Stegostoma tigrinum: one gene and its partners. The protein of the gene in region 2 interacts with the protein of the main gene of each other region in a biochemical or structural test. Links are inferred from orthologs where the notes say so. Each region holds a gene or a part of one and is shown on either strand. Other genes may lie near its edges. The genes, in order: protein DBF4 homolog A-like, mcm2, cdc7 and chek1.

What was found.
Region 1: of the proteins of mcm2 (region 2) and protein DBF4 homolog A-like, one has a biochemical effect on the other in vitro, tested with the Homo sapiens proteins (3 studies listed by BioGRID). The link is inferred for Stegostoma tigrinum from reciprocal best matches to the Homo sapiens genes MCM2 and DBF4.
Region 3: of the proteins of mcm2 (region 2) and cdc7, one has a biochemical effect on the other in vitro, tested with the Homo sapiens proteins (8 studies listed by BioGRID). The link is inferred for Stegostoma tigrinum from reciprocal best matches to the Homo sapiens genes MCM2 and CDC7.
Region 4: the proteins of mcm2 (region 2) and chek1 form a complex in vitro, tested with the Homo sapiens proteins (2 studies listed by BioGRID, with this or other methods). The link is inferred for Stegostoma tigrinum from reciprocal best matches to the Homo sapiens genes MCM2 and CHEK1.

What each region holds. Positions count from the first base shown.
Region 1 is NC_081355.1:113,236,989-113,244,868, reverse strand, and holds the start of protein DBF4 homolog A-like, read right to left. Parts: upstream 3,013-7,880; 5' UTR 2,899-3,012; coding exon of another isoform or gene 2,867-2,898; 5' UTR 2,704-2,866; intron 2,686-2,703; exon of another isoform or gene 2,555-2,685; intron 1-2,554. Other genes in the region: probable mitochondrial glutathione transporter SLC25A40, read left to right, coding at 2,867-2,898. UniProt on the Homo sapiens protein: Regulatory subunit for CDC7 which activates its kinase activity thereby playing a central role in DNA replication and cell proliferation. Required for progression of S phase.
Region 2 is NC_081364.1:5,791,559-5,799,122, forward strand, and holds the start of mcm2 (DNA replication licensing factor MCM2), read right to left. Parts: upstream 3,014-7,564; 5' UTR 2,929-3,013; coding exon 2,923-2,928; intron 1-2,922. UniProt on the Homo sapiens protein: Acts as a component of the MCM2-7 complex (MCM complex) which is the replicative helicase essential for 'once per cell cycle' DNA replication initiation and elongation in eukaryotic cells.
Region 3 is NC_081361.1:87,370,798-87,378,802, forward strand, and holds the start of cdc7 (cell division cycle 7-related protein kinase), read right to left. Parts: upstream 3,010-8,005; 5' UTR 2,876-3,009; intron 1-2,875. UniProt on the Homo sapiens protein: Kinase involved in initiation of DNA replication. Phosphorylates critical substrates that regulate the G1/S phase transition and initiation of DNA replication, such as MCM proteins and CLASPIN.
Region 4 is NC_081385.1:31,882,213-31,889,879, reverse strand, and holds the start of chek1 (serine/threonine-protein kinase Chk1), read right to left. Parts: upstream 3,014-7,667; 5' UTR 2,967-3,013; intron 2,953-2,966; exon of another isoform or gene 2,928-2,952; intron 1-2,927. UniProt on the Homo sapiens protein: Serine/threonine-protein kinase which is required for checkpoint-mediated cell cycle arrest and activation of DNA repair in response to the presence of DNA damage or unreplicated DNA.

The DNA of each region.
Region 1 (7,880 bases), on a different chromosome or scaffold from region 2:
TGTACCTTCCCAATTTTTATTCGAGTGGGAACAATTTCTTCATATCTAGTCTGTCCAGACCATTTATGGTTTTGAAACTTTCCATCAAATCTCCTTTTAGCTTTCTCCTCAGTGGAAACAGTGCCAACTTCAATAAATTATGTAGTTTCTTATCCTCTCAATCCATTCTTGTGCCTTTTCTGCATTCTCTGAGGTGTATTCACATCCTTCCTGAAGTGTGGCAAGTAGAATTGCACACAATACTCCAGCTAAAATCTAACTGGTCTTAGACGTTTGATGCAATATCACTGATCCTATAAAGCCTTGAATACTGTGCGCTTTATTATCTCGTCTCACCCTCATTTGCTACCATTATTTAGCAATACAAGTATACATCCACGTCTTAGTCCTCCTACACATGCTTTACAATACCATCCTCTTTTTTAAACTTTTTCTCTCCATGTTCTTTAAACCAAAATATATGACCTCTCATCTCTGTGCACTGAACTTATCTGTCACCTATGTCTCTATTCCACCAACTTGTCAATGTCCTTTGAAGCTTGATACTGTCCTCCTCACAACTTATAAGGCTTCCAAGTTTTTCACTGTCCGCAAACTTTGAAATGATTTCCTATATGTTAAGGTCTCAATCATTCATATAGGTCGAGAAAAGCAATGTCCAAAAAATGATGCCATTGAACTTCATTACAAATCATTCCCCCAGCCCAAGAAAAATCCATTAAACATTACTCTATATTTTCACTGTCTCTTTTATCAGGTGTGTTGTACGGTACTGCAGCAAGTTCCTTTTAGAAGTGCAGGCACACGATATCAGCACCATTATCCTCTCAAACATTGGTTCCCACACCAAAATAAAAATCCAGCAACTTACATAAATGCAATTTACCATTAAGAAATTCACCCTGGCTTTCCTTAATTAATTCTCATTTTTCAATATGACTATTAATTTTATGCCACATTTTTACTCGTCAAAGTCTCCCCCCTGCCAAAATTCAACTGGCTCAAAATGTACTTATAGTTGTATACCCTTTTTTTAAAGAAGTTTTTTGCGATTCCCAAAGTCCTCTGGTAGCACCAAGAGGCGCAGCAAGATAGTAGAAACTATGGCCGGTGCCACTGCAATTTCCACTCATTCTTCCTTCAGTATAATTGGATCCATGTCATCCTGTTTGGAGTCATGTCTGGTTTTTGTGCTGGTAGTTCAGATGGTTACCTAGGATAAACAATTTTGAACATTTCTGGCGACTAAATGTTCTCTTCTGGCACCATGCCCAGATAGCATCAGCTTCTTGCAAAAGGTATTTGCAAAGTATTCACTTAAAACCTCTACCATGTTTCCATCCATAAAATATTGCTTGTGAGCTCAGTTGGCTTGACAAATGACGTGAACATTGGGGATTTAATTTCTGCATCGGCTGAGGTTACAATGAATGTCCACTGAGGTACAGGGCACTGCAGGTGCTGGAGAATCCAAGATAACAAAGTGCGGAGCTGGATGAACACAGCAGGCCAAGCAGCATCTCAGGAGCACAAAAGCTTTTGGCCCGCTGTGTTCATCCAGCTCCACATTTTGTGACAATGAATGCCCTATCTCCTCAACCTCATCTGTCACCACTACCAGTGGTCTATCACTAATGGGAGAGCAGCTCTCTGGGACAATGGTGGCTTTACCTTTTACTCTCTTGGTCTCTCTCTCTTCTTACCATCCTTTCACAAATTATGTGCCCACAGAATAGCCTTTGGGATTTCTACTTATGTCAGCTGCCAGTCTTTGTTCAGAAACTCGTATATGTTATAATAATAAACTACATGCCTTGCTATAATGTCATAAAATAGAAATAATATTAAAATTATTCAGCATTTGCTCTCACGAATGGAGAGAAGATCTTTAACATTCTTGTGAAGTTTCTCTTTCGGCAAATCAGCGTACTTCTAAAGGCAGCGATGACTCAATGACAAAACTTGCATTGTATAACCTTCACAATCACGATATCGAGCAAAAAAATTGTAGTTTTGTTAAAGTACTGAAGCAATCTTTCAGAAACTACAGCGTGTAGCGACTAAATAAACTTTTATTTGTGATCCTTAACGAGGAATTGGCCAAAGTAAACACGGCTACTCTTAGATGCCCTAAAATCACTCAATTCCATCTGAGACAGCAGGACAGAGATTGGGTTAGAAACCTCCGAATGTTCCTGCGAAAGGAAAATGTGGACATATATTTGCGAAGGGCAAACTGTACGAGGGTGAGAGATTTGGGCGGGGGCGGGGGGATGAGAGAAAGCTCTTTTCAAGAGCCAGCCCAGGGGACGATGGGCGAGTGACCTCCTTCTCGAAGAATCCTCGCGCCAGAAACAAAAAAGTTAAACTAGTACAAGTAAACACCGTTGGATGGAAGCATTAAGGTTATTTCCCCTCGCCCCCAAAGTGCTCCTTTAAACGTTGGGGTCGATGCGGGTCTAGCACAGAGCGGTTCCCGAATAACGCAGTTGCCGCCATCTCCTTTAAACGGCGCCTCGCGGTTATCAATTAGCTCCCGGCCTGGAGCACTCACCGGCAGCACTTCCTTCCTCCAGTCGCCTTTCTTTCTCTCTCTCCCCCTCCCTCGCTTTCTCCTCCACTCAATTTTCACTCTACCCTTTTTTTTCCTTTTTCCCGCCGGTCGCGCAATGGCAGCGATCTAAGTAAAACCATCCCCATTACCGGTTCCGCACTTTCCACACGCACCACGTGCGCTGGGTTCCGACGAAAGCATCGATTAAATCCAGCGCCTCGCTAACGAAGTGAAAACACGAAGGGGAGGTTCGCGCGGAGTAGCCAGTGGTCATCCGCGGAACAGAAAGCGGGGTTGCTCGAGGTGGATCAAATGGCGAATGTGCCGGCAGTCGACAGGAGAAGGTGCGTCTTTCGATCCCGGGTACGCGTCGTCACCGCCAGTGGCCGCTCGGCACGTCCCGGGCTCAGGCTGCGGTAATGAACCGGGACCAAGGCCCCTGGCTGAGAGAGTGACAGTTTCCGAGCACGTGTGAGAGAGGCTGATGTGGGTGGGGGCTGGTGTGGAGATGGTCATCCCAGCTCATACCCCACAGTCTCTTTCTATCTCATAGAAACAACACCACCCCCCACCCACCCTCCACAGTCTGATGATCACCTTGAACCAGTAAGCAACTCCTCCTGCCATCGGTTTATTAACCAGCCCAAAGGTGAGGCACTCATTCAGCTCCTTATTCTAGTTGCTGCCCGAGAGTCGTTGAGGCGAAACAGTGAGTACGGTGAAATTCTTTTCCCACCTTCGTCTTCCCTCTCACACTCGGTTTGATTCAGTTAACGTTATGCAACTACTTGTTTTTTGTTATTTCACCGTTGTTGGAGTTGGAAGAAATACACTGTTTACCGTCCTCCGGCTCGCTTATGAAATGAGATTTACCTGAGTGGTATTTCAGTTTAAGACTGAAGTATTTTTCATTAAGTTTTTAATCTTTCCAGTTACAAAAATCTAATATAAAATAGATGCTGCTTGACCTGCTGTGTTCATCCAGCTCCACACTTTGTTATCTCTTTCTCTTGACGTATGGGAATGCTTGCTTATGCCGCAATTTTAAGCATATAGGTTTGAAATTGGGTACGTTTATCAAATGGCAGAAAAATGCAATAACATTTACAACCTCAATTGGATATTTTTGCCTCCTAAGTTTGGGGATCCATTTCATTTTACAAATTATACAGATCTGCAGTTACATAAATGATTGTGTTAAGCTATTCTGGTTTATTGAAGCTGAGACAATTTAAAGTACAATTTTGGGTGTGTGATTTTGTGAATCTATTTTGATAACAAAATATGTTAGCTTTTTCACTACCCAACATGTGCAGGATGATAAAGTGAGCTGCAGCACCCATTTTGTTTTTACATTTATATTCAATGAATACAGTTTAATTTTGTATTGTATTGCCGTGACGGGTATTTTAACTATGCAGTGGTTACTGTTTCTATCTTTGTTCCTGCAGCATTGCTTGAGTGTTGTCATGTTGCAGGGAAAACTTTCCGTTCATAAAACATCATATCTTTTAGAAACAGCTCAATAGTTTATATGGCAGTACTTGTAGTAAACCTTTTTTCAGTTGACGTATTTGAATATCACAACCATAAACTGATCATAACTTAATTGGTTATATATGAGATAACAAGGTGTAGAGCTGGATGAACACAGCAGGCCAAGCAGCATCTTGGACCAGGAAAGCTGACGTTTCGGGCCTAGACCCTTACTAAGATGTTGCTTGGCCTGCTGTGTTCATCCAGCTCCACACCTTGTTATCTCGGATTTCCCAGCTTCTGCAGTTCCTATTATCTCTGATTTATACATGTGGCCTGATTAGATGTCTTTTTCCTTATCTGCTTTTCAATGTGACAGTTGCACTGTTGCATAACATTGCATCAGTTTAAATTGTACAGACTAGTAAAAGGGCAGTGAAGTGATCAAAAGAATTAAGTTCAGCATTGACATTTAGTCTTGAGGTGTACTTGGCCTACAGTTATACATGTTAAATTTCATTTTATTTAACTTTTTAGACTTGGTTTAGTCTTCATTCAGTGTTGCTCAACATGAGTTAAAGGACTAGCACTTTTCCTTTTAGTTGGGCATTTTAAAGATTTTTGGACTTTGATGTTTAAATATTTTTAGCTTTTAGACATTGCTTATTTTTTTCAGTGATTTTCTTGTATTCAAAGCATGTTAGCTTATGCTTTGTTAAGGTGCACCTACTCTTGTTTTACATAAACGTTTAATCCTCGGACCCATTTACAACTTTCGGCACTTGGGTTTCACGGATTTTTTCTGTCTCTAATTTGTTCTCACTCTCACATAATGCATTTTACATATCTGTAGCTTCAGTGTCATTTCTCGGGAAGAGGGTCATTACAACCTGCCAGTTGGGAGCTTCCATATCCGAGTTAAGTGAACTTAGATATCAGGTTTCAAAGCATTGCTCACCTTATTCAGCTTAAAATGTTGTAATCTTAAAGAACACCTGCAAGCCGATGCTTTCAACATCATTTTGTTTAGAATATTACACTAAGATTTATCATTATCAGCCCCTCAAAACGAGGATAACTGTCCCAGGGCCCAGGCTGCATGACTTTGTGTCCTATGCTCACTGCACTAACCAATGAAGGCAAGCGTATCAAGTACCTGCTTCACCACCCTACCTACTTGTGACTCCACTTTCAAGGATTAATGAACCTACGTCCCTAGGTCTTTTGATTCAGCAGCACTCCCTCGGACCTATCAATTAAGTGTACAACGCCTGCCCTGATTTGCCTTAGCAAAATGCAATACCTCACATTTATCTAAATAAAACTCCATCTGCCACCCCTCATCTGATGATCATCTGATCAAGATTCTGTTTTACTGTGAGGTAACCTGAGGTGCAGGTTCATGGTTCCTTGAAAGGGGAATCACAGGTAGACAGGGTTTGGTACGCTTGCCTTTATTGGTCAGTGCTTTGAGAATAGGAGTTGGGATGTCATGTTCCATTTATGTAGGGCATTGATTTGGCCACTTTTGGAATACTGCGTTCAATTCTGGTCTCCTTGCTGTAGGACGGATATTGTAAAACTTGAGAGGGTTTGGAAAAGATTTACAAGGATGTTGCCAAGAGCTGGAGGGTTAAGATACAGGGATCAGCTGAATAGGCTGGGGCTATTTTCCCTGGAATGTTGGAGGTTGGGAGGTGACATTTTATAAGAGGCTTATAAAATTATGGGGGGGTGGAGGGGCATGGATGGGGTGAAAAGCCAAAGTCTTTTTCCCCAGAGTAGAGGAGTCCAAAATTAGAGGACATAGGTTTAAGGTGAGCAGGTAAAGATTTAAAAGGGATGTAAGGGGCAACTTTTTCATGTACAAGGTGGTGTGTATATGGAATGAACTGCCAGATTAAGTTGTAGTCTGGTATAATTATAACATTTTAAAAGCATCTGGACAGGTACATCAGTAGGAAAGGTTTTAGGGGCTGTGGGTCAAATGCTGACAAATGGGCCTAGTTTAATTTAGAATATCTGGCGTGGAACAGTTGGACCGAAGGGTCTGTTTCTGTGCTGTACAACTCTGACTCTAGCGCATTGGAGAAGCCTCACCCAATGTAGTAATCACTGTCAGAAATTAACTGCAAACAGAGTAGCAACAGAAGTGGAATGTGGGAGACAGTAAAACCTTGACTTGAAAGCCCATCTTGTTCAGGCAACCTGTGCCCTCTCTGCCCAAAGATCTGTGGCAGGGGGAATTTGCCTCCTGACTCAGCTGAACATATTTAAACTGAGAAAAGTTAATAAGCAAACTGTAGTCTAATTTAAATAGTTAATGTTGTGAACATTAAATCTATGACAAATTTATTGGTTTTGCTGATAGAACATTGCCATGAATTCTGTGCAGCATTACTACAACAGCACAAGGTCACTTGGGAAAGACTTTCAGAGTTGTGCACATGTCACGGTACAGATATTTTCATATCACTAAGGTCACCTTGCTTGTTGATTATTCTGCCAAAGTAGAAGACCTGCTTTTCAGCAAGAGTAAGTGGATCTTCGTTTATCTTTTGAAACCGTTCTTTGTTACCTGTAAGGAAACTTTAATGTTCATGAACAGTTACAGCTTCAATATTCATGAAGTAAGTTGATTTTTTTTTGTTTGACTAAAATAGGCAGGTTTTCACCAACAATTCCTATACCTGTTGCTTCAATGATCCCATTTTAAGAAGGTTGACACTGGCAGTAAGCACAAGGATTGCTTTGTTTGAAGGTTGTTACAAGAGATTACACTGATTCAAATGTTGAATCTACTCCAGCCAGCAAACATTTCTGATTAGCCTGTGAAGGTTATGAAGTAACTTTTTAAAAAATCACTCAGGGTGTGGGCTTTGCTGGCTGGACATCCATTTATAGCTCATTTGAAATACATTCACTGTGCTGCTAGAGAGGGAGTTCCAGGATTTTGACCCTGTGGCACTGAAAAAAGCAGCAATATGTTTACAAGCCAGGATGGTGAGCACCTTGGATCTTGTAGGTGGTGATGTTCTCATTTATTTGCTACCATTGTCTTACTTATGGTAGTGGTCCTATGTATGAAAAGTGCTGAAGAAGAATGGTATTTTTGTACAGTGCATCCTGTAGATGGTACACACTGCTGCTACTGAGTGTCTGTGAGGAGGAAATTAAAGTTTGTGGAAGTGATGCTAATCAAATGGGATGGGTTTTGAGTGTAACTGGAGAATTGCACTTACACAAGCAATTGGATGATTTATGCCATAAAGATAGTGGACAGGGTACAGGTAATGAGGAGGTAAATTACTTGCACATCCACCACCACATCATTACCACCAAGTCAGAGTTCTGGTAATGATGTGGTGGTGGATTTGGTTATAGATTCTGTTTGAGTCCCTTTCTGCTGCTGCTGAAGGCCCAGAGGACCTAATAGATGTCCAACCTCAAGTTGCTAGATCTAGTTGGAAACTGTCCCATTTAGCATGGTGGTAGTGCTACATAATACAGTATGAAGACAGGACTTTGTCTTTATGGAAACCCTGCCATAGTTATCCCTACTCATACTGTCATAGACAGATATGAGCGTGACAGACACGTTGGCGAGGATGAAGTATCTGAGGCATGGTTTGTCAGTTATTATTCCATGAGTATGACTATGTCAAGCAAATGTTGACTAGCAAATGAGACAGGGTATACGCTGCTGCCATAGATGCCAGTGTTGGAGGAAGTGATTGTTTCACTGGTAGACATGGTGCTGATTAACGGCGTTGCTTTGCTTTGTTTCGGATGTTGCTTATGGGGGATTCAGCAATGGTTATGTCATTTAATGGCACTGGTAAAAGGTTAA
Region 2 (7,564 bases):
CAATGAGCAAGACCACTGGAACTCAGTTAACTTAGGGGGATAACAAGAAGATGTGGAGCTGGATGAACACAGCAGGTCAGGCAGTATCAGAGGAGCAGAAAAGCTGACGTTTCAGGTCTGTACCTTGATTCAAAAATGGTGGGGAAGGGGAAGAAATAAAGAGAGACGGGGAGGCAATGATAGAAAATAGAGAGTACAGCAGATAGGTGGAGAAAAGATGGACAGGTCAAGGAGATGCAAACGAGAGGGGGGTGCTGGTCTTGGGATTAGGTCGGGGGTGGGGAGATTTTGAAGCTTGTAAAGTCCACATTGAGACGAATCGGTTGTAGGGTTCCCAGGCGTAATATGAGATGCTGTTCGTCCAGATTTTGGTGGCATCCGTGTGGCACTGGAGGAGGCCCAGGATGGACATGTCGTCCAAGGAGTGGGAGGGGGAGTTGAAGTGGATCGCGACTCGGAGGTGTTGCTGTTTGTCACAAACCGAGTACAGGTGCTCCACAAAGCAGTCTCCAAGCTTCTGCTTGGTTTCCCTGATGTAGGGGTAGCCACGTCAGGAACAGCGGATACAATATACCACATCAAACAGATGTTCACCTGCTCATCCGCTAATGTGGTAGGGTGTGGGGGTGTGGGGGCAGGTGTAGCACCTTCTGCGGTTGCAGGGAAAGGTGTTGGGGGTGGTGGGGCTGAGAAGTTAATGGAACAAACCTAACAGGGCTAGTGGGGAGCATACAGCAGACAAGGGAGTCACAGAGAGAGCAGTCCTGGAAGGCAGATAAGGGTGAGGAGGGAAATATAGTCTTGGTATGGGGCCAGATTGCAGGTGGCAGAATTAGCAGAGAATGATGCTTTGACTTCAGAGGTTGATGGGGGTGATATATCAGAGTAAGGGGGATTCTGTCTTTGTTGTCATTGCGGGAAGGGGGTGTGAGGGCTGAGGTGCAGGAATGTAAAAGATGCAGTAGGGGGCATTTTTGACCATGGGGGGTGGGATTTGTGGTCCTTGACAAACAAGGACATCTGGGATGTCTGGGAGTGGAATGCCTCACCGTGGGACCAGATGCGGTGGAGGCGAAGGAATTGGGAACAGTGGGTAGCATTGTTGCAAGAAGTTGGGTGAGATTAGGTTCAGGGAATTTGGGAAAGATAATAAAATTAGAAATTGCAGGAAAAACTCAACAGGTCTGGCAACATCTGCGGAGAGAAAGCAGAATTAACATTTTGTGGCCAGTGACGTTTTTGTTTTTAATTTCCAACAACTGCAGTTCTGCCAGTTTTTAAAAAGATGTGTTACGATATTTATAGCTAGCATTTAAATTATCTGGAACATTCTGACCCAGGTTCAGTGACAAAACGAATGGGCATTTCAATCAGGAAAGGGGTTGGTGGGGCTAACTTTGCACCTCACAGCACTGCAGCAATGAAACAGAATGGGGTCTAGGTCACAATTTGAATGAGTAGGTGACCGCGGGATCACATACCCTTCTAATGTAGTATCATACAGTACAGAAGCATGTCCTTGACCCATCATGACTACATCAACAAAAACCGCTCGAAAAAAAACACTGGTCTCATTTTCAGCATTAGACCGACAACTTTGAATGTTAAGGAATTTCAAATGCTCACCCAAATACATTCTAAAGGTTGAGATATTTCCCATGTCAACTACCCTCCCTGGCAGTGCATTGCAGACACCTTCCCCCGCCCCAAAAAAAAGCCTCTGAGCTTGCTTTCCTCGAATCCCTGTAAACCTTCTACCTTACGAATTAAAATTATGTCCCTTTGCTGTTGACCCTTCAACTCAGGGAAACAGCTGATATCTACCTACCCTGTTTGTATCCCTCAATCTTACACCACTCAATCACATTCCCCCCCGCACCCGCCCCGGTGCAAATTACAGCAGATGAAGGAATCTGACACTTCATCAGAGTCATCTCGACTTGAAACGTTAGCTTGCTGTCTCTCCGTGAATACTGCGATCGCCAGCACTTGTTTACAGTACAGGTTCCGCACACCCTCCAAACCCCACCACCTTCTCTGCTCTAAAGGAAACAAGCTGACGCTATCCAGCCTCCCTTTTTCTCCCCAGGTTAGGGGGCTGCAAATGTAGAGGGCATGGGTCCAGGTGAGAGGGGGAAAGATTTAAAGGGAACTAAGGAGCAACTTTTTCATGCTTAGGATTGTGTGTGTACAGAATGAGCTGCCAGGGGAAGCGGTGGAGGCTGGTACAATTACAACATTTAAAATGCATCTGGATGGGTACATGAATAGGAAGGGTTTACAGGGACAAGGGCCAAATGGGGCTACGTCAGATTGGGATATCTGGTCGGAGCAGAAGAGTTGGACTAAAGGGTCTGTTTCCACGTTGTACAACTCTATGATCCATCCCAGGCAACATCCTGGTGAATTTCTTCTTCACCCACTCCGGTGCAATCACATCTTCCTGTAATGTGGTGACCGCAACTACACACAGGGCTCCGGCTGTGGCCTAACCAAAGTACTATACACCGACGATAACCTCCCCACTCTCATATTCAACGTCTTGGCTAAGTTGCCCGAGGGCCTTCTGAACTACCCTATTGACCGGTCCTGCTGCCTTCGGGGATTCGCGGACCTCAAACCATCTCTGGCCTACATGTGACTCCAGACCCAGAGCAAAGCGGATGGTTCTCAACTGACCCTCTGGGCAGTTGGGGATGGGCAATAAATGCAGTGACGCCCTCATTCCATGTGCGATATAAACAAACAACAACCCCTTCAGGATCTCTCTGAGCCTCCTACCACTTATCATCACGCCGGAGGTCGGGATGTGAGGAACATCACAAACCACTTTTCCCCTCAGTGTTTTATCTGACGGGCTCTTAGCTGCAGCTTTCCCCTAACCCCACTCCAGAAACACCTCCCTCATTCTCTTCCACTCACCGCCATTGCCTCCTTCTCTCCGGCTCCTCACCGACAAACGGACTAAACCCCTTTTCGCGCCAAAACCACCCACCTGACTCCGATTCGCGCCAAAACCCAGTCGTGTGTTCTACGTCACCGCGGCCCCATGCATGTCAATGAGCACTGCGTCATCGGCGCACAGCATCAGACATCGCCGGCTGTAACGGGTCATGGATCGATTGAAGACGAGGCGTACGTATTGCTATTTAAACATCGCGGTCTGCGGCCTGGAGCCTGTAGGGAATGGTGTTCATCAATTATTTCTCGACGGGGCGCTACTGATGCTCACATTGGAAAGAGACGCTGAGTTCCCGAATGGATTGGCGGTTCAGATTCCGCCCCTCGTGCTTGTGATTGGCTGTAGGTGGTGTCCGTTAGGACCTGACCTCTCGCGGATTGGCTGGCCCACACGTCAATCAACCCTACATTTAGGGACCGTCTCCAAATTGTAAAGGAGACCATTTTTAAAAAAGCACAGGAATGGGATAATACTATTGGATGAGGGCCGCATTGTTGGGCTAATACACCAGAGACCCAGGTAGCGTATTCAGCACGTAGGTCCAAATCTTGTCATGCATGATAGTGCAATTTGAGTTCAATTTTAAAGAATTTGGGATTAAGAATCTGAGGATAACCATTGCCAAGAGAACCCAACTGGCTCACTAATGTCCTTAAGAGAAGACCACAGGATATAGGAGGCCCATCGACTCTGTTCCACCATTTGATCATGGCCGATATGATTCTCAACCCCATTTTCCTGCCTTCTCACTCTTGATCGCCTTACTAACCAAGAACTGATCTAGCTCTATCTTAAATATACTGAACAACTTGACCTACACAGCTCTGTGGAGCAATGAGTTCCACAGATTTACCACCCTCTGGCTGAAGAAATTCCTCCATCTCTGTTCTAAAGGGTTGTTTCTTTCACTCTGCTGTTATACTTGCATTTTAGCCTGTCCTATTAGTGGAAGTATGTCCACTCTATCCAGACCACTGGATTCTGGAAGTTTAGATGAGGTTCCCATTCCACCCAACCCTTCTAAACTCTTGACAACTCCTCATCCCAGGATCATTTTTGTAAACCTCCTCTGGACTCCCTCCCTCTGCCTCCTACAAGCCAAAGTCCCCACCTGCTTCAAGAAGACCACTCTCATCCCTGTATCCAAGAGAACACATGCAGTGTGTGTGCAGTGACTATCACCCATTTGCTGTCTTCAATAATCATGAAGTACTTTGAGAGGCTGGTCATGGCTCACATCAACTCCAGTCTCCAAACTTGCCTCAAATCCCTACAATTTGCCTACCAACATAACAGGTCCACAGAAGATGCCGTATCCCTAGCCCTGCACTCATCCCTGGAGCTCCTGGACAATAAAGAAACCTACATCAGACTTGTGCTCGTTGACTAAATGTCCGCCTTCAACACCATTGTCCTCTCCAGACTGATCTCAAAACTGCGTGATCTTGGCATCAGCTCAGCACTCTGCGACTGGATCCTCAGCTTTCTGACCCATAGGTCACAATCAGTGAGGATAGGTAACTGCACCTCCTCCACAATAACCCTCAACTCTGGAGTCCTCCCCCACCCCACCAAGGATGCATCCTCAGCCCCCTACAGTACAAAGAAACAAAGAAACCTACAGCACAGGAACATCGGCCCTCCAAGCCTGCGCCGATCAAGATCCTCTGTCTAACCTGTCATCTATTTTCTAACGGTCTCTGTCCATTTGCTCTCTGCCCATCCATGTACCTGTCCAAATATATCTTAAAAGACGCTAACGTGTCTGCGTCTACCACCTCTGCTGGCAACGCGTTCCAGGCACCCACCACCCTCTGTGTAAAGAACTTGCCACGCATATCTCCCCTAAACTTTCCTCCTCTCACTTTGAACTCATGACCCCTAGTAACTGAGTCCCCCACCCTGGGAAAAAGCTTTTTGCTATTCACCCTGTCTATACCCCTCATGATTTTGTAGACCTCAATCAGGTCCCCCCTCAATCTCCGTCTTTCTAATGAAAATAATCCTAATCTATTCAACCCCTCTTCATAGCTAGCACCCTCCATACCAGGCAACATCCTGGTGAACCTCCTCTGCACCCTCTCCAAAGCATCCACATCCTTTTGGTAATGTGGTGACCAGAACTGTACACAGTACTCCAAATGTGGCCGAACCAAAGTCCTAAACAACTGCAACATGACCTGCCAACTCTTGTACTCAATACTCCGCCCAATGAAGGAAAGCATGCCATATGCCTTCTTGACCACCCTATTGACCTGCATTGTCACCTTCAGGGAACCATGGACCCGAACACCCAGGTCCCTCTGTTCATCAATTTTCCCTAGGACTTTTCCATTTACTGTATAGTTTGCCCTTGAATTTGATCTTCCAAAATGCATCACCTCGCATTTGCCCGGATTGAACTCCATCTGCCATTTATCTGCCCAACTCTCCAGTCTATCTATATTCTGCTGTAATTTCTGACAGTCCCCTTCACTATCAGCTACTCCACCAATCTTAGTGTCATCAGCAAACTTGCTGATCAGACCACCTACACCTTCCTCCAGATCATTTACATATATCACAAACAACAGTGGTCCCAGCACAGATCCCTGTGAAACACCACTGGTTACAGGTCTCCAATTTGAGAAACTCCCTTGTACTACTACCCTCTGTCTCCTGTTGCCCAGCCAGTTTTTTATCCATCTAGCTAGCACACCCTGGACCCCATGTGACTTCACTTTCTCCATCAGCCTGCCATGGGGAACCTTATCAAATGCCTTACTGAAGTCCATGTATATGACATCTACAGCCTTTCCCTCATCAATCAACTTTGTCACGTACTCAGATTGTTGAATGGACTCTGGCCTCAAATAATGAAGATGCCCTAAATAATGTAACCTGCAATGTAACCTGTATGCCTTTAAGTCTTTTTGATCTGTACATCCTTTGCTTGCTGTCATCTGCCTCTAGCGCTCATAAACAAAGCATTTCACTGCATTTCGATATACAAGACAATCAGTGAATAATATCCTTCCTTAAAATACATCGCCCAAAACTGCTGACAATATTCTAAATGTGGTCTGACCAGACTCTCGAAATTGGCTCAGCAGCACGTTTCTGTTCTTGCATTCTAGCCCTCTTGAAATGAATGGAAGCATTGCATTTGACTTCCTAACTGCCAACTTTACCTGCCTGTTAACCTTGAGAGTCAGCACAGAAACAGACCCTTTGGTGCAACTTATCTGTGCCAACCAGACTTCTTAAATTGAACTAGTCCCATTTGCCTTCATTTGACCAATATCCTTCTCGACCTTTCTTATCCATGTACTCATTCAAATGTCTTTTAAATATAGTAATTGTATTCACCCCTACCACTTCCTCTGGCAGCTTGTTCCATGTACTCACCACCCACTGTGAAAAAGTTGCCCCCCATTTTAAATCTTTACCCTGTCACCGTAAAACTATGCCTGCTATTGAGGTTGGTTGGCTCGCCGAGCTGGTTTGTCGTTCCACAGACGTTTCGTTACCATGCTTGGTTACTCATTCGTCTCAATCCACATGGACAAGGAGAACCACGACTTCAACTGGGACAACACCAAGATCCTGGGACAGGCTAGGTAGAGACAAACACGAGAATTCCTGGAAGCATAGCACTCCACGTAGCAGGCTATTAATAAACACCCCATATACATTCCACTATGGAGGAAACCCAGAAGTGAGGCAATCCATCGCAATGGTCCACAGAGTTTAAAAGCCAGGCGGGAAAACACACTGATGCTCCATCAGAGGCTGCACTGAGGATGTTACCCAAGCACGGTAATGAAACATCAGCAGAACAACAAACCAGCTCGGTGAGCCAACCAACCTCAAACACCCACAACCCGAGCTACAAATATACTCCAAAATAATGCCTGCTGGTTTTGGTCGCAGATACCCTTGGCTATTCAACTTATCTATGCCCCTCATGATTTTATAACCCTCTATAAGGCCAACCCACTGCCTTCTCTGCTCAAAGGAAAGTAGTCCCAGCCTATCCAGTCTCTCCATATAACTCAAACCCTCCAGTCTCAGTAATACCCTTAAAATCTTTCTTGCACCCTTTCCAGAGTACACCTCAAATTTATCTGCGTTAAACTCCATCTGCCATTCCTTAGTCCATTTAGAGTTTATAGAGTCACACAGCATGGAAGCAGACCCTTTGATCCAACTAGCCCACAATGACCATATTCCCAAATTAAACTAATCCCAACTCCTGTGCTTGGCCCATATTTCTCCAAACCTTTCCTATTCCTGAACTTATCCAAATGTATTCTGAACATTGTAACTGTACCTACATTCACCACTTCCTCTGACAGTTCAGTCCACATACACACAAACCACTGTCTGTGTAAAAGAAAAGTTGCCCACATGTCCTTTTTAAATCTTTCTCCTCTCACCTTAAAAATATTGCCCCTAGTTTTGAACACCCCCTCCCTAGGGAAAAAAACTGTGACATTTACTTTATCAATGCCCCTAATGATTTTATAAACCTTCTATGATCCATTGAAAAAAGTACCAACCTTTCCAGTCAATTTTGTAATCTCAAACCCTCCATTCCTGGCAACATCCTGGTAAATCTTT
Region 3 (8,005 bases), on a different chromosome or scaffold from region 2:
GTGGTTGTTCAACATCCAGAAGGTTCTCAGCATCACAGGTGTCAGTCTTCAGCCAATTTGATTCATTCTCCATGTGATATGTAAGAAATGGCTGCAGGCATTAGAGACTGCAAAGGATTATGGTCCCTGACAACATTTTAGCCAAAGTACAAGACAAATGCTCCAGAACTTAGCACAACCCTAGCAAGCTGTTCCTATGCCGTTACAATATTGGCAGCTACTCGATAATATAGAAAACTGATAGGAATGTCCTATACGCACAAACATAGGACAAATCCAATCTGAACAATTACTGCTTCATCAGTCCACTCTTCCTCAACATTAAATTGATGAAAATTATCATCAACAGTGCCCTCAAGCAGCATTAGTTATAACCTGCTCAATGACACTCAGTTTGGGTTCCACAAGGACCACTGAGTTCATGGCCTTCTTCTAGCCACTGTCCAAAATGGACAAGACCTGAAGTCCAGAGGCAAGGAGAGCCTTAGGCATTCGAGAGTGGAATCCTGGGAACCCACCAAAACTGGAATCAATGAGAATCCTGTGTGGGGAGGGGTTGAACTCTTCACTCTTGCGATTATACCTGGTACAAATGTTGGTGGTTGAGATGGAGTGTGTCAAGTCATTTCATCTTCTGGACTTCTCTGAGTGAGTCAAAAACCTGGAACTCCACCCCTTATAGCATTGCGTGTTTACTGATATTTTCGGCCTCTCCCTTTCTTGAATTGAGGTGTTACATCTGCAAACTTTCAATGTGACGGAACAGGAATTTAGGATTTTAGATTGCATAACCAATGCAGCTACCATCTCTGCAGCCATTTTGTTTAAAACCCACAGAACATACGATCCAGTCCAATGGACTTGTCAGGCTTTAATTCTAGTTGTTTCCCATTACCTCTTAGTGAGTGTGATTGCTTTAAGTTTCTCTGATGTGTTTACATCTTGATTTTCAACTGCTGTTTTTTTGTTTTCGAATGTGAGAACGGACAAAATAAACTGTTTGATGTTTTCACCAGCTCGGTATTTTAATATTAATAATTCCACTGTCTTGCCCTCCAAGGGAGGTACAGTCACTTAAGTATTTTTAATAGAGTTTCTACAAATATTAACAATCTGCTTTTAAGAGGTTTAGTTAGCTTTCTCTCGTTTGAGATTTTGTCCTTGCTGCTTTTTCAAAGCAAAACACATTTTACCAAAGCTTTTCATTTTGTTGTTATCAGGACAATTAACACCACCAAAACCAAGGCAAAACAATATTTATACTGCGTGAGGAGTGCTGATGGCTAAGCAAGTAGCAACTGATATATTGAACCACTGCCATGGGAAATGCATAAGTTAATAACGATCAACAGTTATGTGCCAGCTTTGTTTAAATTTTAGCCAGAAGGGTTGACTCTGATTGGTTAAGACACTACCCTTAGAAAAGGAATTAGAGAATGACTGTCAATATTTTGTTGCTGACACAGGGGCAGTGAGTGCAAGTATTTTGTCTACCATGAATAGGATCCTGTGTATCAATAATATATAGCTCCAGTATATGCCAATCCTATGTTGGTTGTCAGCATAAGGAACAATAATGACGAAAACTGCATTCCCCAAAACGGCTTGCCATGCAGTGCTTCAGTCAGTCTGTTCATTTATCTTGCATACCCCTCCTCTCTAGTCCACAGAAGCTTGGAGAACCCACAGGACAATAGTGTCCATGCCTCAACCAGACTCCACTGGCTGGAAAGCACTTTGTGACTTCTAGTGTTTATGGTTGGCACTACAAAAATGCAAATTTGCACTTCAACTGAGTGACCTGTATTCAGCAATGTTGATTTGACTGATAAAGGTCAGAAAAAAACCAGGGTAGCTCTTGGGTCTGGTCCAGAAGCGGAGGAGGGATATTCTTTCAATGAAAAAGGACCAGACTATCCAATTTATTTCTACGCTTCTTGAGATAACTCGAGAGGCCATTATCCCGTCACCAACTAACACCTGAATCACACATAAAGTGTCCTTGACACTGAACCAGCTTCCTCAGAGCCAATTGAGTGGACAGAACCTCAGCCAGGACTCCCTGATGGAGACTCGTTCAATTACAACATTTAAAAGGCATCTGGATGGGCAGGAAGGGCTTAGAGGGATATGGGCCAAACGGGAGTGGATTTATTTGGGACTACTGGTCAGCATAGATGAATTGAACCAAAGGGTATGCTTCCATACTGTACAACTCTACAACTGGACCAGATTAACAGCCTCAATTAGGGAACTCATATTCTATGAAGTCAATCTGGCACTCCTCAACTCAATCACCACAATCATGTCAACAGGTTACTGAAGAGTTCATTGTTTTGACCATCCAAAATATCAAAGCAAAACCCTCACATAAAATTTTGGTGATTAAACCCCAAAACCTTCATCCAAATTTGTTATTGCCCACTGACACTGAAGAACAAAATTGATGCAATACTGAACTCTTATGGAAGGCTAGCCATGGGAAATTGCCCATAGCATCTAGGGATGTGCAGTGTTTCAGGGATTAGGTGAGTGGGGTGCTAGGTCTGGCTGGGATGGTCTTCAGGAGGTTAGTATGGACTCGATGGGCCGAATGGCCTGCTTCCACACTGCAAAGGGTGCTAATGACTGTATAATCATTAATTAATTAATAAGCCAAAATAAACAGCTTGACACGCCCATATGTAATTCTGCCTCATTTTAACCTGATGTTTATTTGAATTTGTCAGATGTTTATGATCATCTTTTGTGTTAAACGGAGGAATTTGCTTCACTTCAAAGGAGGCCACATTCAAGCCCCGGACTGCGTGAGTCCTCCCGAGATAAACCACGTCCCATTATCTCTCTCTCCAACCACGTTAGACACCGTTCTTACCGAAGAAAAGTGGACACCGAAAACCGATTCCGGAGCGGCAAACCCGCCGACACCCAGCCCCACAGACACAGAAACGGAGAGAGCGCCAACAAAATGCCCGCCGAAAGTAACTCCGCCCCGCAGCGTAAGAGAACCGACACCTCCCCGCCGCGCGGCTCACTGACACAACCTACCCCGGACCCTGGATAACTGATACACCCCGCCCCGCACCGCGGCTCACTGACACAACCTACCCCGGGCCCTGGATAACCGATACACCCCGCCCCGCACCGCGGCTCACTGACACAACCTACCCCGGGCCCTGGATAACCGATACACCCCGCCCCGCACTGCCGCAAAAAATAACAGACACACCCGGCCCCGGGCCGAGGAATAACACATACGTTCCGCCCCGGACCGCGGATAATTGATACTCTCCACCCAGCCCCCTCCAATAATTAACCCCTGGTCCTGGAAGGCACCAGAGGTGCAGGAAGGCTGATGTTTCGGGCTTAGAACCTTATTCAGAAATGAGCTCGTCCCCGCCTCCCTAACCTGTTGTTCCTCTCACCTATCCCCTCCTTCCACATCAAGCCGCATCTCCATTTCCTACCTACTAACCTCATCCCGTCCCCTTGACCTGTTTGTCCACCCCAAACTGAACTATCTCCTCCCTACGTATACTCTGCTCTCCACCCATCTTCTCCTCTATGCATCTTTGGTCCACCTCGCCCCTCTCCCTATTTATTCCAGAACCCTCACCCCATCCCCCATTTCTAATGAAGGGTCTAGGCCCGAAACGTCAGCTTTTGTGCTCCTGAGATGCTGCTGGGCCTGCTGTGTTCATCCAGCCTCACATTTTATTATCTTGGATTCTCCAGCATCTGCAGTTCCCATTATCTCTATTCACACACGGGACACTGGATAACTGACCATTGGATAACTATCCCAGACCTTGCAGAAGTGAAAACTTCCTGCCCCAGGCCCTGAATAACTGACATCTCCTTGTCCCAGACCCTGAATCATTGCCCTCAAACCCCTACCCACCTTACCTTCCCTGAACATGGATAACTGCCACCTCTCCAGCCAAGCCCCTGGATAATTGACACCACCCTGCCCAGACCCTGTATAATCAACACTACCCCAACCTGGAGAAGTGGATAACCAATACACCACACTGGACTCTGGATAACTAACATCTCCCCCGCCCCAGACTATGGACAGCCAACATCTCCCCTTACCTGGTTCCTGGATAACCAATACATCCCCCCCGGACCATGAATAATTTACAATTCCCCAACCATGGATACCAGACACATCCTATCCCAGGTCTTGGAAAGCAGACACTACCCCATCCAAGACCATGGATAATTTACACATTTCTCGCCCTGAACCCCGGATACCTCCCTGCTCCAGACCCTGGATAACTGTCATCTTCTCACCCTGGACCCTGGATAATTAAACAAAAAAAGCCAAAGAACAATACGACACAGGAACAGGCCCTTCGGCCATCCAAGCTTCTGCTGACATAATTTGCCCTTACATACTAAAATTGTCATCACTTACAGGATCCATATCTCTCTATTCCCCTCCATTCATGTAATCATCCAGGTAATTCTTGAAAGCTGCTATTGAGTCTGCTTCCACCACCTCCTCTGGCAGTGCAATCCAGGCACTCACCACCCTTTGTGCGAAAAACTTGCCTCGCACATATCTTTTAAACATCGTGCCCCCATCCCCACTTCAACTTGAATCTGTGTCCTCTATTAATTGACTCCCCCATCCTGGGGAAAAAACCTCATACATTCCACTCTACCCATGCCACTTGGAACCTTAAAAACTTCTGTCAGGTCACCCCTCAACCTCGTGCATTCCAGTGAAAACAAATCCAGTCTATCCAACCTTTCTTCATAGCTAAAATCCCCCAGACCAGGCAACATCCTGGAAAACTTTTTCTGTACCCTTTCCAAAGCATCCACGCCCTTCTAGCAGTGTGACCAGAACTGTACGCAATATTCCAAGTGCGGCCTAACTGAAGTTCTACAAAGCTGCGGCATAACATCTATCTTATGACTCAATGCCCCTTCCAATGAAGACAAGCATGCTAATAAGCCTTCTTTACCACCTTATCTACCTGCTCTACTGCTTTCAATGATCTTCGGACCAGACATCTCTGCATATCAGTACTCCGAAGGGTTCTGCCATTCAATGTATAATTCCCGCCTGTACTTGACCTTCCATAATGCATCACCTCACATTTGTTCAGATTAAACTCCATCTGCCATTTTCTGCCCACGCCTCCAAATGATCTACATCCTGCTGCATCCTCTGACAATCCTCCTCGTATCTGCAACACCACCAATGTTTGTATCATAAAACCATACTGTCTATTGCTAATAAGTTTGTTTGCTTCTGACTGTGTATAAATCTTCTCCCTGAGAACCTTTTCCAATAATTTCCCCAACACCGACGTGTGACTCACAGGTCTGTAATTTCTGGGGTTATTTCTGTTACCCTTCTTAAACAATGGAACATTGGCTATCCTTCAGTCCTCTCAGGCTTCAGCTGTGGCCAAAGAGGATACAAAGATGTCTGCCAATCTTTCAGCAATTTGTTCACTTGCTTCCTTCAATATTCTGAGAATTGTCAACTCTCTACCCTGAACCCTGTATAATTGACACTCCCAACTCAGGACTGTAGATTACCCACACATCCCTGCCTCGGACCCTGGATAACCAACACCTACTCACCACAGATCACACACACCTTCCCCACCCTTACCCTAGGTAAGCACACGTTCCATCCCCTAACCCTGGGTAACTGACACAGTTCCCATTACCTCCCCTTTACGTCTCCATCCTGTCCCTGAATAACCCAACCTCCCAATTCTAACTCTGGATAACACATATCTCCTTGGTGTGGGCCTTGGATAAAGTCATAGAGATTTACAGCATCAAAACAGATTCTTCAGTCTGACTTGTCCATGTCAACCAGATATCCTAGATAAATCCAGTTCCATTTGCCAGCATTTGGTCCACATCTTGCAACCCTTCCTACTCATATACCCATCCAGATGCCTTTTAAATGTTGTAATTGTACCTGCCTCCACCACTTCCTCTGGCAGCTTATTCCATACACGCACCACCCTCTGCATGAAAAAGTTGCCCCTTAGGTCCATTTCAAATCTTTCCCCTCTCACCTTAAACATATGCCCTCTAGTTTTGGACACCATAACCCTGGGGAAAAGACCTTGTCTTTTCACCCTATTCATGCCCCTCATGATTTTAAAAACCTCTATAAGGTTACCCCTTAGCCTCTGATGCTGTAGGGAAAATAACCTCAGACCATTCAGCCTCACTTTATTAGATTAGATTCCCTACAGTGTGGAAACAGGACCTTTGGCCCAACAAGTCCACACCGCCCCTTGCAGCAACCCACCCAGACCCATCCCCCTATAACCCACACACACCTGAACACTACGGGCAATTTAGCATGGCTGATCCACCCAGCCTGCACATCTTTGTGACTGTGGGAGGAAACCGGAGCACCCGGAGGAAACCCACGCAGACACAGGGAGAATGTGTAAATTCAGCATAGACAGTTACCCGAGGCTGGAATCGAACCTGGATCCCTGGCACTGTGAGGCTGCAGTGCTAACCACTGAGCCACTGTGCCACCCTCGATCACTCAAAACATCCAACCCTGGCAACATTCTTGCAAATCTTTTCAGAACCCTTTCAAATTTCACCCACAGATCCCTACCCCTAGTCATTGGATAACAGATGCCTCCCACTCCATCTCTGTATAACCTGCACTTCCTACTCTGGACCCTGCACAACCCGCACCTCTTGTCCCAGACTCGATAAGTCAGACCCTGCCCCAAAGTATGGGTAACTGATACCACCCCACCAAGGACTCTGGATAACTACCATCTCCCCACCCAGGGCTCTTGAATTCTCATATCCATACTTAAGGAAGGATGTGGAGGAAATGTAACAAATGTTTACCAGACTGATTCCTGGGAAAGCGGTCTGAACCAATGGTTGGAGTCTAAGGATAGACCGTTTAGAAATGAGATGAGCAGAATGTATTCAGAGAGAGTGGTGAGCTTGTGGAGTTCTCTGCAACAGAAAGTGGCTGAAGTCAAAACATTGAATGATTCCAAGATTGAGGTAGGTTTGCTTTTCAAGTGGTCAAATGTTAGTAGGAGAAAGTGAGGATCATGTTGAAAGTGTGATCATGTTGAATGGCAGAACAGGCTCAAAGGACCAAATGGCATACTCCTGTTCCTATTTTCAATGTTTCCATGAACAACCATCACCTCTTGGCCTGGAAACCCTTTCCCTCTGCCTCACACTCTCAGTACCACTGTCCATCCTGGAACCTGGATAACGCTACTGTCAATTGTCATACCACCTTCAAAAGTCTTAATTATCCAAATTACATTCCAGTCTAAATTCCTGAAAAGCAAGCACTGGGCCCAATACAACATCATCTGGAGATCCTGGAAATCTGAAACCAGAAAATGCTGGAGAAACTCAACAGGTCTGGTGGCATCTGTAGAGAGGAAGGCAGAGTGGTGTTGCACATGCAATGACCCCTCATCAGAACTGAACTGGGCCGACTGGAGATACCTTGAATCATTCTATTCAGAATTGCTATGACACTTGAACCCAAACCTCCTGGCTCAGACATAGGAACATTACCACTGTACCACAAAAGCCCTACAGAACCAACTGAAAACAATCTTTCAGTAACACAAAACACCTGCTAATTATTACACTTCTGACCGAATCCGTTTGGTTGCTCCCATTGAGACAAGTCTGCATCCACCTTGCAGTCTTTCCGTGGATGCTGTAAGGTTTTAATTTTCTTAACCAATCCACTCTGTTGGAACTTGTCAAATGTCTTGTTAAAATCAGTGTAGACTACATCAAACAGGCAACAACCATCACCACTTCTCATTACCTGTATTAAAGTAAAAGCAATGAAGTCAGACTGCATGGACTTCTGTGTACAAGGCCTTGCTGATTATCTTTGATCTATAACTCATTAAACTAAAATACATATTGTCCCTCAGAATTTTTCCAAGAATGTTCCCATCACCAAGGAAGGCTGACTGGTCTGTCATTATATTATTTCAAACAACAA
Region 4 (7,667 bases), on a different chromosome or scaffold from region 2:
TCTCTCAGACACAGTCACTCATTCCCCCAATCTTTCTCTCTCTCACACAGTCACTCATTCCCCCATCTCTCTCTCACACACACAGACACACACACGCACACAGTCAATCAATCCCCCATCTCTCTCTCAGACACAGTCACTCATTCCGCCATCTCTCCCTCTCACACACACACAGCAACTGATTCCCCCATCTCTCTCTCTCTCTCTCTCTCTCTCTCACAGTCACTCATTCCGCCATCTTCTCTCACACACACAGACACACAGTCAATCAATCCCCCATCTCTCTCTGACACAGTCACTCATCTCCCCCATCGCTCTCTCTCACACACACAGTTGCTCATTCCCCCATCTCTCTCTCTCTCAGACACACACACACAGTCACTCATTTCCCCCATCTGTCTCTCTCTCACACACACATACAGTCACTCATTCCCCCATCTCTCTCTCTCTCTCACACACACATACAGTCACTCATTCCCCCATCTCTCTCTCTCTCTCACACACACATACAGTCACTCATTCCCCCATCTCTCTCTCTCTCTCACACACACATACAGTCACTCATTCCCCCATCTCTCTCACACACACATACAGTCACTCATTCCCCCATCTCTCTCTCTCTCTCACACACACATACAGTCACTCATTCCCCCATCTCTCTCTCTCTCTCACACACACATACAGTCACTCATTCCCCCATCTCTCTCTCTCTCTCACACACACATACAGTCACTCATTCCCCCATCTCTCTCTCTCTCTCACACACACATACAGTCACTCATTCCCCCATCTCTCTCTCTCTCTCACACACACATACAGTCACTCATTCCCCCATCTCTCTCTCTCTCTCACACACACATACAGTCACTCATTCCCCCATCTCTCTCTCTCTCTCACACACACATACAGTCACTCATTCCCCCATCTCTCTCTCTCTCTCACACACACATACAGTCACTCATTCCCCCATCTCTCTCTCTCTCTCACACACACATACAGTCACTCATTCCCCCATCTCTCTCTCTCTCTCACACACACATACAGTCACTCATTCCCCCATCTCTCTCTCTCTCTCACACACACATACAGTCACTCATTCCCCCATCTCTCTCTCTCTCTCACACACACATACAGTCACTCATTCCCCCATCTCTCTCTCTCTCTCTCACACACACACAGTCACTCATTCCCCCATCTCTCTCTCTCTCAGACACACACACAGTCACTCATTCCCCCATCTCTCTCTCTCTCAGACACACACACAGTCACTCATTCCCCCATCTCTCTCTCTCTCTCACACACACAGTCACTCATTCCCCCATCTCTCTCTCTCTCTCTCTCTCTCTCACACACAGTCACTCATTCCCCCATCTCTCTCTCTCACACACACAGTCACTCATTCCCCCATCTCTCTCTCTCACACACACAGTCACTCATTCCCCCATCTCTCTCTCTCACACACACAGTCACTCATTCCCCCATCTCTCTCTCTCACACACACAGTCACTCATTCCCCCATCTCTCTCTCTCACACACACAGTCACTCATTCCCCCATCTCTCTCTCTCACACACAGTCACTCATTCCCCCATCTCTCTCTCTCACACACACAGTCACTCATTCCCCCATCTCTCTCTCTCACACACACAGTCACTCATTCCCCCATCTCTCTCTCTCACACACACAGTCACTCATTCCCCCATCTCTCTCTCTCACACACAGTCACTCATTCCCCCATCTCTCTCTCTCACACACACAGTCACTCATTCCCCCATCTCTCTCTCTCACACACACAGTCACTCATTCCCCCATCTCTCTCTCTCACACACACAGTCACTCATTCCCCCATCTCTCTCTCTCACACACAGTCACTCATTCCCCCATCTCTCTCTCTCACACACACAGTCACTCATTCCCCCATCTCTCTCTCTCACACACACAGTCACTCATTCCCCCATCTCTCTCTCTCACACACACAGTCACTCATTCCCCCATCTCTCTCTCTCACACACACAGTCACTCATTCCCCCATCTCTCTCTCTCACACACACAGTCACTCATTCCCCCATCTCTCTCTCTCACACACACAGTCACTCATTCCCCCATCTCTCTCTCTCACACACACAGTCACTCATTCCCCCATCTCTCTCTCTCACACACACAGTCACTCATTCCCCCATCTCTCTCTCTCACACACACAGTCACTCATTCCCCCATCTCTCTCTCTCACACACACAGTCACTCATTCCCGCATCTCTCTCTCTCTCAGACACAGTCACTCATTCCCCCATCTCTCTCTCTCACACACAGTCACTCATTCCCCCATCTCTCTCTCTCAGACACAGTCACTCATTCCCCCATCTCTCTCTCTCACACACACACAGTCACTCATTCCCCCATCTCTCTCTCTCACACACAGTCACCCATTCCCCCATCTCTCTCTCTCACACACACAGTCACTCATTCCCCCATCTCTCTCTCTCAGACACAGTCACTCATTCCCCCATCTCTCTCTCTCACACACACAGTCACTCATTCCCCCATCTCTCTCTCTCACACACACAGTCACTCATTCCCCCATCTCTCTCTCTCAGACACAGTCACTCATTCCTCCATCACACTCTCTCACACACACAGTCACTCATTCCCCCATCTCTCTCTCTCAGACACAGTCACTCATTCCCCCATCTCTCTCTCTCAGACACAGTCACTCATTCCCCCATCTCTCTCTCTCTCAGACACAGTCACTCATTCCTCCATCACACTCTCTCACACACACACACACTCATTCATTCCAAAATCTCTCTCTCTCTCACACACACAGCAACTCATTCCCCCATCTCTCTCTCTCTCACCCCATTCCCCCACCTCTCTTCCACACACACACACTGAATTGTTCCCCCATCTCCCTCTCTCTCTCTCACTCACTCATTCCCCCATCTTTCTCTCTCCGTCTTTCACACTCACTCTCTCTGCGTAACGCTCTTCCCATGGATTTTCGCGCCTTGCGAACGTCAACACGTTGCAATGACGTCACCGCGCTGCTGGGGGCTTGAGGCTGGCGGTGCCGTCAGCGCGGGCGGGAGTTTCAAAGCTGGCGCTGTTCTGAATGGGTTAGTGACACAGCGACTGCAGCTGGATTTGATCGTGTGGTAGACCAGGGTCACTTCATCACATCGAATTGGAAATTAGGTGGATAGTTATTCAGTTTAATTGCAACAAAATTGTAAATATGAGCAGAGGATGTTGATAACTTTCAGAGGGCAGGAATGCATCAATGGAGCAAGAACAGAATTACTGAATCGCATTTCATGTGCATGGATCAGAGGAGCGGGAGCCATGAGATTCCCCAGTTCCGCCTCCCCCTCTCTCCCTATTTATTCCAGAACCCTCTCCCCATACCCCTCTCTGTTGAAGGGTCTAGGCCCGTAACGTCAGCTTTTGTGCTCCTGAGATGCTGCTTGGCCTGCTGTGTTCATCCAGCCTCACACGTTATTATATTGGAATTCTCCAGCATCTGCAGTTCCCATTATCTCAGATTCCCCAGCTCAATGTGACTGCATTCAGAGGTAGGACCAATACACTGTTTTCCAACTGAGTGCAGCCACTGGATGCTAACAAGAGTTGCCAGCTGGGTGGATCAGTGGTTAGCACTGCAGCTTCACAGCGCCAGGGACCCAGGTTCAAATCCAGCCTCGGGCAACTGTCTGTGTGGAGTTTGCATGTTCTCCCTGTGTCTGCCTGGGTTTCCTCCAGGTGCTCCAGTTTCCTCCCACAGATGTGCAGCCTCAGTGGATTGGCCATGCTAAATTGCCTGTAGTGTTCGGGGGTGTGTGGGTTATAGTGGATGGGTCTGGGTGGGATGCTCCAAGGGGCAGTTGGGCCAAAGGGCCTATTTCAACACTGTAGGGAATCTAATCTAATTCTTGTCAAAAAAAAGAGTAAAGGCTACGGGCATCAGACAGTTCTGATAAAGCCATAGGTGCTGCTGGGGCACAGGACACACTGTTTGAATGGCTCTCCTCATGTTCTGGGACTTGGCATAGAGGGTGTTGCAGGCCTGGTCAGAGAATTTTAGTCTGATAGTGGCATTGTGAAAATGAGTTCCCTCATCCAGACAATGTGTCACAATGTTCTGATGTAAACCCATTCCTTTAATGCTGTGGTTGGTTCTCTCGCTGATATGGTTTGTTAGTTTGTGGATGTTTCTTCTACCCTGCTGGGTAACATCAACAATGCAGCCTCTGATGAAGCGCTGTTGTGTTTTCCTGTATGGTATTTAAACTCTGGGAAATGTGGATTTGATTACCTCGTTTCCGGTTTTCCTTTGCAGTGATGTGTGTATATGGTCCCGTTTTATGCACTTGTTGATGGCCTTCTTGGTGGAGAACTAGGCCTCTAGGAATTCCCGTTCTTCTGTCTGTTCAGCTTGTCCTAGGATCCTGGTGTTGTCCCAATCGAACTGGTTGTTCTCCTTGTCCATGTGAAAGGAGATGAGTGAGTATTTTTTGGTCGTGTCCTTTTGTTGCTAGTTGGTGTTCACATATAGACCCTATACATAGACCGCTGTGAAGGAAAACCAGAAATGGGGTAATCAAATCCAACGGACCCCAGAGTTTAAATACAAAGTGAGAAACATGACAGCACTTCATCGGAGGCTGCACTGATGATGTTACCCGGCAGGGTAACAAAACGTCTGCCAACCAATTAACCAAATTGGCGAGTGAACCAACCACAGCATCCACAACCCAAGCTACAAATCTACTAAAGAACCTTGAGACCTTTAAATTGAGGATGGATCCATTGAAATTGGTGTAGACCAAGGCATTCCAATATCACTTATGCAGTTGAGAAGGCCAGAAGTGCAGGCCCATCTGTCCTTAAGAGACATTGGTAAAAATTCTTGGTGCTGGAATATGGCCAGGAATTCTGGAAATGGATTCTTGTTGTCATGCGTATTCCTTTGTGGAGTATCCCTAACTCCATGAAAATCCAGCCCAATTTTTTTAGGATGACGACCTTTCATTAGGACTGGGAAGAGTTGAGAATGTAACACTGTTAATTTATAGAAGGTGAAATCAGGTTATGGACTTACCATTCCTTTTAGCCCTGCCCCACCAACTCTTTTATTATTTCAAGGCTCATGTTTCCTGCCCTATCAGGGACCTTCCTACATTTCACCTAATTAAGAGTTTTAGCACAGATTTTCCAACCAGTGTGAGAAATCCTACTTCCAGCCTTGATTGCATTAAAAATTCCTCACATACCTTAGATGATTTCTGCACTGAAGACTGCTGGGGAGGAACCTCCTGTTTTAGACTCGGAGAGGGTGTAAAAGAGATTTACCAGGATATCGCCTGGATTGGCATGTATGAGTCAAAAGGAGAGGTTGGACAAATTGGAATTGTTTTCACTCGAGTGTCAGAGGCTTCTACCTGCTAGAATAATATAAAATTATGAGACGCCTGGATAGGGTGGATAGTCAGAGCCTTTTTCTCAGGGTGGAAATTTCAAGTACAAGGGGCATAGGTTTAAGGTGAGACGAGAAAAGTTTAAAGGAGATGTGCGAGTTAAGTTTTCCATGCAGGCGGTGATTGGAACACATTGCCAGGGGAGTTGGTAAAAGAAGATATGATAGCAACAGTTGAAAGGCTTTTAGACAAACACATGAACAGGCAGGGAATGGAGGGTTACAGACCATGTGCAAACAGATGGGATTAGTTTGGAATGGCATTATGGTTGGCACAGAAATGGTGGACCAAAGGTCGTGTTCCTCAGCTGTACTGTTATCTGCTTTATGTGATGAGCCTGACCAGGAATCTATGAATCCACTGGTAAAGAGAATCATTGTGGAATCTACACCTTCATTTTGCAACAGTCAGTGAATGTGTTCTGAGATTTAATCATTAGCAGCAGACCCAGCCCCTATCACAGCTTTCGCGAAAGGGTAAATATGGAGGAAAGCATGGGATTAGGGTGCTAGGCAGATGTGGGATGGCAGTTACCTCCATCGGCATCACTTTTATCTCGTGTACACTCTACAGCAACAACTCAGTGCAGTGCTGCAGTGGGGCTGAATTGTCATTAGTGCCATCTTTTGGATGAATTTAAGTGGAGCCTGAAAATCATACAGCACTGTTCAAAGAGTAAGGAGTTCTCATGTCTAACCTAAAGTTCCTCCATCCAGAAACACAGTCAGAAATGATTAACTGGTTCTATTGTTGCTGTCATTGGGGTCATGCTTTGCACAATTTGTTTACTGCAATTACCTGTAAAGAAAAACCACTGGCTGTACTTCAGCAGTAATTGCAGGGATTCAGAGTATCCCACGAATGTGAGAGGCTGTGTAGAAATCCAAATTCTATTTACCACTCATTGAACGCTCAAGATCAGCAATAAACTTCTGAAAATTAATACAAAGTTGTTTATTTTTAAATTACGCAGAAGACTGATATATTGCAATCATTGCTAAACAGTTACTTTATAAAACAAAGTCAAAGCTACCTTTATTCAAATAGCACAATGGCGTGTTTGAGAATCAAAGGCAACATTTAAGTTACCTTCAATGTTTGTAATGTGATCCCACAGTCGCATCTTGCCAGACCCATTAGTGCTCAGTTCTGATTTCGTTTTGTCTCTGCTGTGCCAAGAATGTGATGATGCAGCCACGAGTGTGGTCTGGGAGGTCTGCAGTGAAGGATTGTGGGCACGGGTGAGACGAGTTCACTGGCTGACTTCACCAGGGTGAAGTGAGTTCATTCACTCAGTCGAACCCAGTACAGCATCAGTGAACTCTTCTGTCACTTGTAGCAAGGGAGGTCATGTGAGTTCAAGAGGAAGTGCTGCATTCTGGGGAACGAGTTCCTTGAGTGCAGGCGCTTGTCGGAAGAGGGTGATGTGAGTTCATCTTGTTTTTAATGGGTTGCTGTTTACTGAATGAGGCAGAAAGTGATGCCAGAGAAATCTAGGAGGAGCTGGTGAAATTGGCAGGGAGCAGAATTTGACACTGCACAGCTATTGACTCCAAAACAACTTTGAGGATGTTGCATAATACATCAGCAAAGGTTACTTAAGCAGCCTGTTAAAACTGTTTCCATTGACACGTACTTAATAACTTCAGTTTATCTGTAGTCTTCCCAATTGGCATTCAACAATCCGGTCTCTGTAACTGCATGAACTCAGCATGGTAAATTTTATGTGATTACTAAACATGACCACATTATATTCATGTCTCATTTTAAGTCATAGTCACAGACATAGAGTTATACAGCACAGAAACAGGACCCACCCTCCACACCACCACCCCCTCCCCACCGCCATTCCTGTTCCAACTCATTCGTGCTGACCAGATATCCTAAACTGATCTAGCGCCTTATCTTGCCGCTCTTATACCAATCATGTTATTCCAGCCATTTGGTTTGTCTCTAGCACCATCTTATGTTTTGATTTTTTTTTGTTGCTATCTCTCTGCCTTAATTAATCGGGTCATAGGTCATCCCTTCACTTGCCATTCAGCTACTGACACTTTACTTACACCATTTGACACTTTTGATCACCTGCAAAGACTTGCCATTCAGCCTTTAGACACTCTATTCACACTATTTGTACTGTCTTCTGACACTCACAATTACCTATTTTGCAATAATCTCTCCACATATAAATTCTGTG